2 linked regions of the Oryctolagus cuniculus genome follow. The protein of the gene in region 2 purifies or fractionates together with the protein of the main gene of each other region. This does not show direct contact. Links are inferred from orthologs where the notes say so. Each region holds a gene or a part of one and is shown on either strand. Other genes may lie near its edges.

Region 1 (4,624 bases), on a different chromosome or scaffold from region 2:
CAAATGGCAGCAACAGCCGGGACTGGGCCAGGCCGAAGGGCCAGGAGCGCCCACTGCGTCTCCCACAGGGTGGCAGGAACCTGGGTACGTGGGCCGTCACCTGCTGCAAGCTGGACTGGACGGGGGCGGGGCGGCACTCGGGCTGGGATGCAGCTTGATCCACGGACCCACACACCTGCCCTGGAGGAGACTTTTCAGAAAACGGGGGGCTGGTTTTTGGGGTTCCCGCGCCTCTGCAGCGTGCGTCCCCTGTATGCAGGCCTCGGACCGGGCTATTCCACGGTGCCGGTCCAGCGTGGGTTTGGATCTCTTACGGCCAACACCTGGGCTTGGCTCACGCTGTGGGCCCCGCCGCTGCGAATTTGGGTTTTTCCCCTTTTTTTCCAGACTCAGTCAGCGGGGAGCGGGCACTTCCTGCCCACAGATTCTCCTCGGGAGGGAACGGTTCAGGATCAGGCCCAGAGGGGACTGGCCCAGCACGGAGCGGCCAGAGGGAACAGGCCCAGAGGCCTTGCAGCGGGCCTGTCTCAGTGCTGGGCATGGGCAGCCCCACCTGGCCCGAAGGCGGCTCTGCCCAGAGCCTCGGTGGCATTCTGGAACCCCAGGGCCCGGCAGACGACGCTGGCGTCCGTCAGGTCCCAGAGGTTGTCGCACACGGTCCCCCACTGGCCCCTGTAGAAGATCTCCACGCGGCCCTCGTTGGCTGCGTCCCCGTTGGCCAGCCGCATGTCCCCGTCCTTCTCGCCTGCGGAGAGGGCAAAGGTCAGCTGGACGCGGCGCCCACCCAGCAGCGCGGCGGTTGTAAGGGCTTCCCCGGTCAGGCTGGCCGGTCCCTCACGTCAAAGCGCCCTCCACCCTGGCTGGGTGACACCCGTGCAGACCCCGCCCCCAGCCCGCGAGGCTGACTTGTCTCCCTGGTCCGCGTGGCCGGAGCTGAGGACAGGGACAGGGACACGGACGAGGAACCGGTGCTCTCCAGCACTGGACAAGAGGGGCAGGACCCCAGAGAGGACTGGGTGGGGGCCCTCGAGGGCAGCCGAGCAGGGGCGTCCATGGGCTCCAGGACTGGCGAGGGGGAGGGGGAGGGAGGTGTCCAGGACCCTTGGAGGCCTGGCCTGTGTCCAGAGGCTGCTGGCCTCACGACCACCCCCGCCACCGGCCTATGTGCTTGCCCCCATCCCCACTGGGGACAGAGTTCCTGGGTCCCCTCCCCATCCCCCCAAAGCCAGAACCCGGGGTCCCCGGAAGACACAAGCCACCCTCATTGGGTACCGCCTGGCTTGAGGCAGGAGAGACCTGGCCAGCACCTCCCAGCTCTCCGGAGGAGGGGCCCACCCCGACCCCAACCCCGACCCTGACCCCGCGGGGCAGGGCGGCAGCAGGCGCGTGGACTTCGGCCCTGGGCACCTCCCGGGCTCAGCTCACCTCGAGTCCCGGCGAGCAGCAGCCACACCCAGAAGAGCCGTGGGGGGGCCATGGCCTCCCTGGAGCCCTGACCCTGCAGCAGAAGGAAGCGGCGTGAGCCCGCACCCCGACCCGTCCTCCACTCCGCTGCGGGGCACACAGGGACCCCCTCCCGCAACCCCCCCCCGAGATCTCCCCATGATGAACAAGAAGGCGACCTGTGCCATGGATGCCTGGGGGGGGCTGTGCCTGGGCTGCAGGCAGAGTGAGCCTGGGCCAGAGGCAGGGGCGAGGGAGGGGGAGGCGCAGCCGGGGGCCCAGGGCGCGGCAGAGCCCCAGAGGCACCCAAGGCGGGCAGAGGGGAAGGGAGGTGAGAGGCAGGGCAGGGGCTCCGACAGGAGTGAAATCCGGGCCCCAGAGAGGCTGGGCTCGGGTCGGGGAGGAGGGGGAGGGAGTCCCTGCCTGGCGGGTTCTCCCTGCAGCTCCGTGGGAGACGGGCGTGTCTGAGAGCCCCTTGGGGGGAGGCCAGAGGGGGACGACGTGGACTTCGGCTCCGGTCCCCAGGACACACAGGCTGGGAGAGGCCGTGGGGTCCTCCCCAGGGCACCTCCCACCCCCGTCCCCGCCCGCCCTGCTGCCCCCGGCAGAGCCAGCGTTTGCTTCTCTGGGACACCCGCGGTGGCCACTAGCAGCACTGGCTACAAGCGGGGGCCTGGACACCCGCCAGGCAGGCCCGGCTCCTCACTGCTGCGCGAGCGCTGGGACCCAGTGCAGCAGTCTGTGGGGGGCCCGGCGTGGCTGCCCGCACTACGTGGTCACCCAGGGCCCCTCGCACAGTAGCTGTCCTGGCCCCAACGACCGTGCAGGGGCTGCTGTCCAGGGAAGCCAAGGGCTCCGCGCGCCCTTCACGGGCAGGAGGGCCAGGGCCACCTGCTGTCCCTGCCCCACTTCCCAGGGAGCTGCAGGGCCGGCTTTGTTCCCTTGGGGACAGGAAGTCAGGGCCCCGGACATGGGGGCCACGCGAGGCCCTGGCACGTGGCCGCCGCCCTCCGTGCGGTGCTGTCGTGCAGGTGAGAACAAGGCCTTGGGGCCAGGCCCGGGCGGGGACGCGCAGGCCCAAGACAGGGCTGAGGGCTCAACGCTGGCCCCTCCTGCCTCGGCCGGGTCCCTGTGCAGGGAACAACCACACACAGAGGCCCTGCGGGCCCAGGCGCGGCGGGGGTGGTCCCTGGACTCGGGAGCCCGGGGCGCCCTGCTCCAGGCCCGGTGCCTGCAGTGTGGCCCACGCTGGCTGCCTGCGTAGACAGGGGCTTACCTGCCTGGCACAGGTGGCTGTGCGGGAGGCTCCCGCCTCTGCTGGAGGCCCAGCCTGCAGTGTGGAGGGGCGGCCCCAGGAAGTGCTCCAGGGAACAGGGACGACTTTCGATTCCCACAAACCACCTGACTGCAGCCTCCGCTGGGGTTGGCTGCAGCTCTGCTGGCCAGGCCCCCTCTTCCTTCCTGCTCTGGCTGTGGGGGTGGGGATGGCAGCCACCCAAGTTCTGACAACAAGACCTACAGCGAGGGGCAGGACCACAACACGAAGGCCAGCCTGGGACAGCGGAGCAGAGGCCCTGGGGCAGACGGCAGCGCTGTGTCCTGGCAGGGTTGGGCCCAGCACGTTGCTGGCTGGGTGGGCAGCCCACACCCCGCCAGGCTGCAGGGCACTGACCCCCGCAGGCAGTCGGGCAGGGGGCCCTGAGCCCTGGGAGACCAGGAAAGCGGCCGGCACGTGGCTGAGCTGGAGCTGCCCCAGTACCTGACACCAGGGCCTGGCCTTGTCCACGCTGGGCTGACCACCCACACTGCAGAGCGGTCACTCCCCTAACGGGAACACGAATGGCCCCGCCCAGCACACACCACCCCCCCCCGCCTCCATCCCCAGCTGCGAGGTCCCAGGGCGCCCTTGGCCGCAGGGATGGTGTCGGGGAGGGCTGTGCGCCCAGACAGCCCAGCGGGAGCAGCGTCCTCTCAGGGGATGGCGCCCTGAGCCACCACGCTGGGTGTGAGGTCCTGGGCCCAGCGGCCCAGTGACCCGATCAACATCACCTCTGGTTTCTTTTCTTAAAAAGATTTATTTATTTGAAAGGCAAAGAGGGAGAGACAGAGAGGGAGAGAGACAGAGGTCTTCCATCTATTGGTTCACTCCCCCAAACGACCACAATGGCCAGAGCTGAGCTGATCTAAAGCAGGAGCCAGGAGCATTCTCCGGTATCCTATGCGGGTGCAGGGGCCCAGGATTGGGCCATCTTCCACTGCTTTCCCAGGCCACAGCAGAGAGCTGGATCAGAAGTGGAGCAGCCGGGACTCGAACTGGCACTCACATGGGATGCCGGCCTCATGGGTGGCGGCTTCACCAGCTGAGCCAAAATGCTGGCCCCCTATCTCTGGCTTCTGTTCCTGCGTCCCATGGGCCCAGATGAGGGCCCCGAACAGAACCACCTGGAGCTGCACGCACTCCCAGGGGGCGGGGGCAGGCAGGGGCCCTGTCAGCACGTGGCAGCTCTGGGAGCCGCTGGGTGGGACCCGTGGCTGTTCCCCTGCTTGGTTCATCTGAGCCCCCGGGGGCCCGCAGGCCTGGACGGCCACAGCTGGAGGCAGAACCCCTCACCGCCACTTCTGTCTCCAAGGCCAAGGCTCTCTGCCAAGCGCCAGGCAGGCTTGGGTCAGACTCCGCCCAAGCCGCCCTCGAGGCCTGGGCACACGCGCGGCGAGGCGCCGACCCCCACCTGGATGGGCCACGGGCGGGAAGCTGAGACCGCTCTGGTCCACGCGGGAGGAAGTGGACCGGCAGAGCAGTGACTTCTACACGGAGCTGCAGGGTGCCCAGAGCCAGCCTCCTCCCGCCTCAGGCCTGTGCGACCAAGGCCTTCCTGACAGGTGTCCCGTGGGGGAGCAGCCCGTCCCCAGCCCCTCCCACTCCACCAGGCTGGGTGCTCCCCAGGGCAGACCCCGCTGAAGAGTCAAGGGAGACCAGGAGGCAGGAAGAACACAGTTCCCCTCTGTGGCTTTATTGTTTACAAAACACAACAGGCCCGCCCTGGGGCCTCCAGAGCCAGGCTGCGTGGTGGTCACAGGGCCCGCAGGGGACGCTGGGTCCTGGGGCCGCGGCGCCTCCGCTCCCGCGCTGGCGGCTGCCCTGGGGTCTCGGTGGAAGAGGCGTGCAGGGAGCGGCCCAGCA
Region 2 (4,011 bases):
ATCTTCTGCAGGAAGGACGGGATCTGCTGCGGCACGATGGTGTACCGCTGGTCCCAGTACCTGTCGTTGTAGTCCTCCTGGATCTTCTCCTTGCGCAGCTCATGCTCCTCAACCATGAACTCGCTGCAAGCCACGGGGCCCAGGTGTGAGCAAAGCAAGCGGCTTCCAGCACCACCCCGGGGCACTCGCTTCCACCAACCCTGCAAGGGCCGTCACTTCTCAACCGTGAGTTACAATAAACCTACAGGAGCTGCCACCTGGGGCACTGGCACCTTATCCCGAATGGGCTCAAGTCTCTGCTTCCAACCCAGCTCTCTAGGAAGGCAGTGACCAATGGCCCAAACTAGGCCCCTGCCGGCCACGTGGAAGACCCAGATGGGGTCCTGGGCTCCCAGCTTTGCCCCGGACCAGCCTCAGCCACTGTGGCCATCTGGGGAGTAAACCAGCAGATAGGTGATCTCTCTCTCTCTCTCTCTCACCTCTCCGTCTCTGTCTCTTTCAAATAAATGAACCTTTAAAGAATAAAATGAACCTAGAAACCTCACCCCGAAACTGGATATTTAACCTGGAGTCAGGGGAACTCAAGGGTGCACAGAGCTGGATGGCGACTGATCTACCTCTCCTGGAATTTAGCATTTGCCTCCACGATGAACACAGGCTCTGAAACAGCACTGGCGTCAGGGGCCGTGAGCCCGACACCGTCAGGGCATATTCCCGAGGAGTCACCGTGGCAAGCTGGGCGCTGTGGTGTGAGGCCCAGCCAGACGCCTGCACTGCAGGCTCACTTCTCCCATCTTAACACCAAAGAACCAAAGCTCTGGGTGTGGACAGTGCCCCCGTCACTCGAACGCCCACAGCGGAAGCACCTACAGGCAGTGTCACACCTGGAAGCCCAAGGATCCCGAATCAAGGCAGCGCCAACGTCCCCTACACAACACACTAGTCACCGGGTGCAGCCAATCGCACCCCAGCCCTCGGCTGTGCACACAGGCTCTGTCTGGGGGACGGCGGCCGCGCATGGCCACGGGGCCCTGGCTGAGCAGGGGCCTACCTGTAGGGGTCATGGATGATCCCCCGATAGATCCACCTCTCCAGAACCTCAAAGTAGGGTGCGCTGGCCGCCTTGGTCAGGTACAGGCACAGCTCCTGAGCCTGGCTGTCGCCTGTGTAGTTGAAGCTCCTGTCGTGGAGCAGGCTCAACGTTGCTCCCCCGAGGCACTCACCCTTATCCACAGAGGTGGCTGCAGGGAGCAGGGGGGCTCAGAGCTGGGGACCCACAGGCGTCTCCTGGGGCTCCTCCCACTCTCATGCGACAGGTGCTCCTCCTCTGGGAGCACCCCCAACTGTGAAGATGTCACCGGCACCTAAAGCTCGTCAAAAAGCTCCCGGGCTTTCTCCCACAAATCCGTAAAACATAAAGCAACACAGGCTTTGGTACAGGCCTCTGGGTCTGGAAGTGCGAACCACACAGCCCCTCCCGGCCTGGACCGCCCCTCACGCGCTGCCCCCAGGCTGGCTGCATACCGAGGGAGGCCAGGATGTCCACGGTGCGCATGGCCGGCTGCACGTAGAACCAGAGCTTCTGCAGGGACAGGAGACCCTGCCTGTGCAGCTGCTCCAGCTGTGTGACCAGGATCAGGTACTCCTTCACGAGGGTGCGCATGGCGGCCGCCAGGGCGTGGTTCACCTGCCCGTACTCGAAGGACGACTTCTCCTCAATGAACCTGCCAGGAAAACACCCCAGGGCCGCCCTGAGCAGGAGCACAGGGCTCACTCAGCCCCGTCCCTGCTGGAAGCAGGGAGCCAGGACGCCGGGCAGGGACTTGCCCCACAGCGGGACAGGCACGGCCTCTGCGCTCACCAGCAGACGCCTTGTTGCCTACACAGGACGGGCTCCTGGGGCTGAGCACCTACCTGGTCACGGTGGAATAGCTGGCAGCCACGGGGAGAATTCTGTTTACCAGCTCCCGGATGGACAGGTCCAGGTTGGGGTCCACGAGGAAGGTGCGGCTCTGCCTCCCGGCCAGGGGCTGGGCAGTGATATACTTGCCATCCACACCCACCAGCACGTACAGCAAGTCCTCCACCACAGCGGACTCCTGGGAAGCCAAGGGCAGCGCACCTGCAGGGCACAGACGGGGCAGGCTCGCAGGGCCCCACTGGCCAGTCACACCTGCCTTCACTGGCACAGGCAGTCAGTGACTTCAAGTGACCGCAGGTCAGGAGCTCAGACACTGTGGCAGCAAGGCAGGTGCAGACTGCCCCGGCTCCTCCCACTGAGCACAGGCCCTGGACACCTGACACCTGGGGGGCACAGCGGGGGCAGCGTGCTCCCAGCACCAGCCATGCTTGTAGGCTCCTCCTTAAGATGACACCGTTCCAAACTTGAAGAACTCAACTGTTTTCACTCCCCAGATGGCTGCAACAGCCGGGGCTGGGCCCAAGCCAGGAGCCACACCTCCTTCTGGGTCTCCACATGGGTGCAGGAGACTAAGCACCTTAGCCATCTTCTGCTGCCTTCCCAGGTGTATTAGAAGGGAGCTGGATGAGAAGCAGAGCAGCCGGACTTGAACCATCGCTCCAGTGTGGGAGGGATGCTGGCACTGCAGGTGGCGGCCCAACCTGCTGTGCCGACACCCGCCCCAAGAACTGCGTTTCTGTCACATGCACCGAGACGGCTGCAGGATGCATGCAACCTGACAGACCGCCGAGCAGCAGGAGCGAACCTCCAGCTGACAGTGGGGCTGTCCCGGATGTCCCCACACACTCAGTGGGGGCCAATCAACCAGGGTGCAGGGGGCCAGCACTGGTGCAGTGGGTTAAGCCGCAGCTTTCAGCACCAGCATCCCTTACTGCAGTACTGACTCAAGGGCCTGCTGCTCTGTTTTCCATCCAGCTGCCTGCTAACGGCTTGGGATGCAGCACAAGACGGCCCAGGTGCGTGGGCCCTGCACCCATGTCGGGGACAAGGATGGAGTTCCTGGCTCTTCTGGCTTCGGCCTGGCCTAGCTCCGGCCACTGTGGCCATTTGGGGAGTGAACCAGAGGTTGGAAGATCTCAATCTTTAAACATGAAACCAGAAAGCCACAGCCTGGGACCTTGTGGGGGCATTAGAGGGCACACTTGTGTGGTTCACAAAACCACTGAGCGTGGCCTCACACACCTGCTGGGAAGGGAAGTGTCCCACAAGGGCAGCGGAGGCTGGCCCAGGCAGCAGCCACGTGGCAAACACTGGGATCACAGCGCTTGCTCCTGTGCTCGCAGCTCCGTTTCTCCCCAGGCCTGTCCTGTTTCTCCCGGGCCTGAAGGCCCGACTCCAGCGACATCTGACCCCACCTCTGCTGGCCTGTCCTGTTTCTCCCGGGCCTGAAGGCCCGACTCCAGCGACATCTGACCCCACCTCTGCTGGCCTGTCCTGTTTCTCCCCGGGCCTGAAGGCCCGACTCCAGCGACATCTGACCCCACCTCTGCTGGCCTGTCCTGTTTCTCCCCGGGCCTGAAGGCCCGACTCCAGCGACATCTGACCCCACCTCTGTTGGCCTGTCCTGTTTCTCCCGGGCCTGAAGGCCTGACTCCAGTGACATCTGACCCCACCTCTGCTGGCCTGTCCTGTTTCTCCCCGGGCCTGAAGGCCCGACTCCAGCGACATCTGACCCCACCTCTGCTGGCCTGTCCTGTTTCTCCCCGGGCCTGAAGGCCCGACTCCAGCGACATCTGACCCCACCTCTGCTGGCACTCAGGTGCTGCCTCTGGCTCACTCCCACCACTCGGCTCACCTCGGCCTGGAAGCCCTGGGGAGCAGCACAAGTGCTGTGCGAGCGCGCGCTTCACTTCCCCAGGTGCTCACCTGGGTGCCGCATCTGGCCGCGAGTCTGCTCCCTCAACAGTGTGTGCTGACCGCCTGCGATGCCACTCCGCATGCCCGCCACTGCACGAGTGCAGAGACCAGACAGCAAGGAAAGCAGGCGCATGGCATCACCCTGCCACACTAGGCGTGACCACAGTGTGGAC

Evidence for each region. The genes of interacting proteins can lie anywhere in the genome.
Region 1: the proteins of TUBGCP2 (region 2) and LGALS3BP purify together in Homo sapiens (affinity purification with mass spectrometry; 3 studies listed by BioGRID and IntAct, counting the BioPlex papers as one, with this or other methods). This does not show direct contact. The link is inferred for Oryctolagus cuniculus from reciprocal best matches to the Homo sapiens genes TUBGCP2 and LGALS3BP.

What each region holds. Positions count from the first base shown.
Region 1 is NC_091448.1:2,763,103-2,767,726, reverse strand, and holds the start of LGALS3BP (galectin-3-binding protein), read right to left. Parts: upstream 2,874-4,624; 5' UTR 2,720-2,873; intron 1,499-2,719; 5' UTR 1,478-1,498; coding exon 1,426-1,477; intron 746-1,425; coding exon 554-745; intron 1-553.
Region 2 is NC_091446.1:266,387-270,397, reverse strand, and holds part of TUBGCP2 (gamma-tubulin complex component 2), read right to left. Parts: intron 2,123-4,011; coding exon 1,915-2,122; intron 1,725-1,914; coding exon 1,525-1,724; intron 1,242-1,524; coding exon 1,052-1,241; intron 124-1,051; coding exon 1-123. UniProt on the Homo sapiens protein: Component of the gamma-tubulin ring complex (gTuRC) which mediates microtubule nucleation.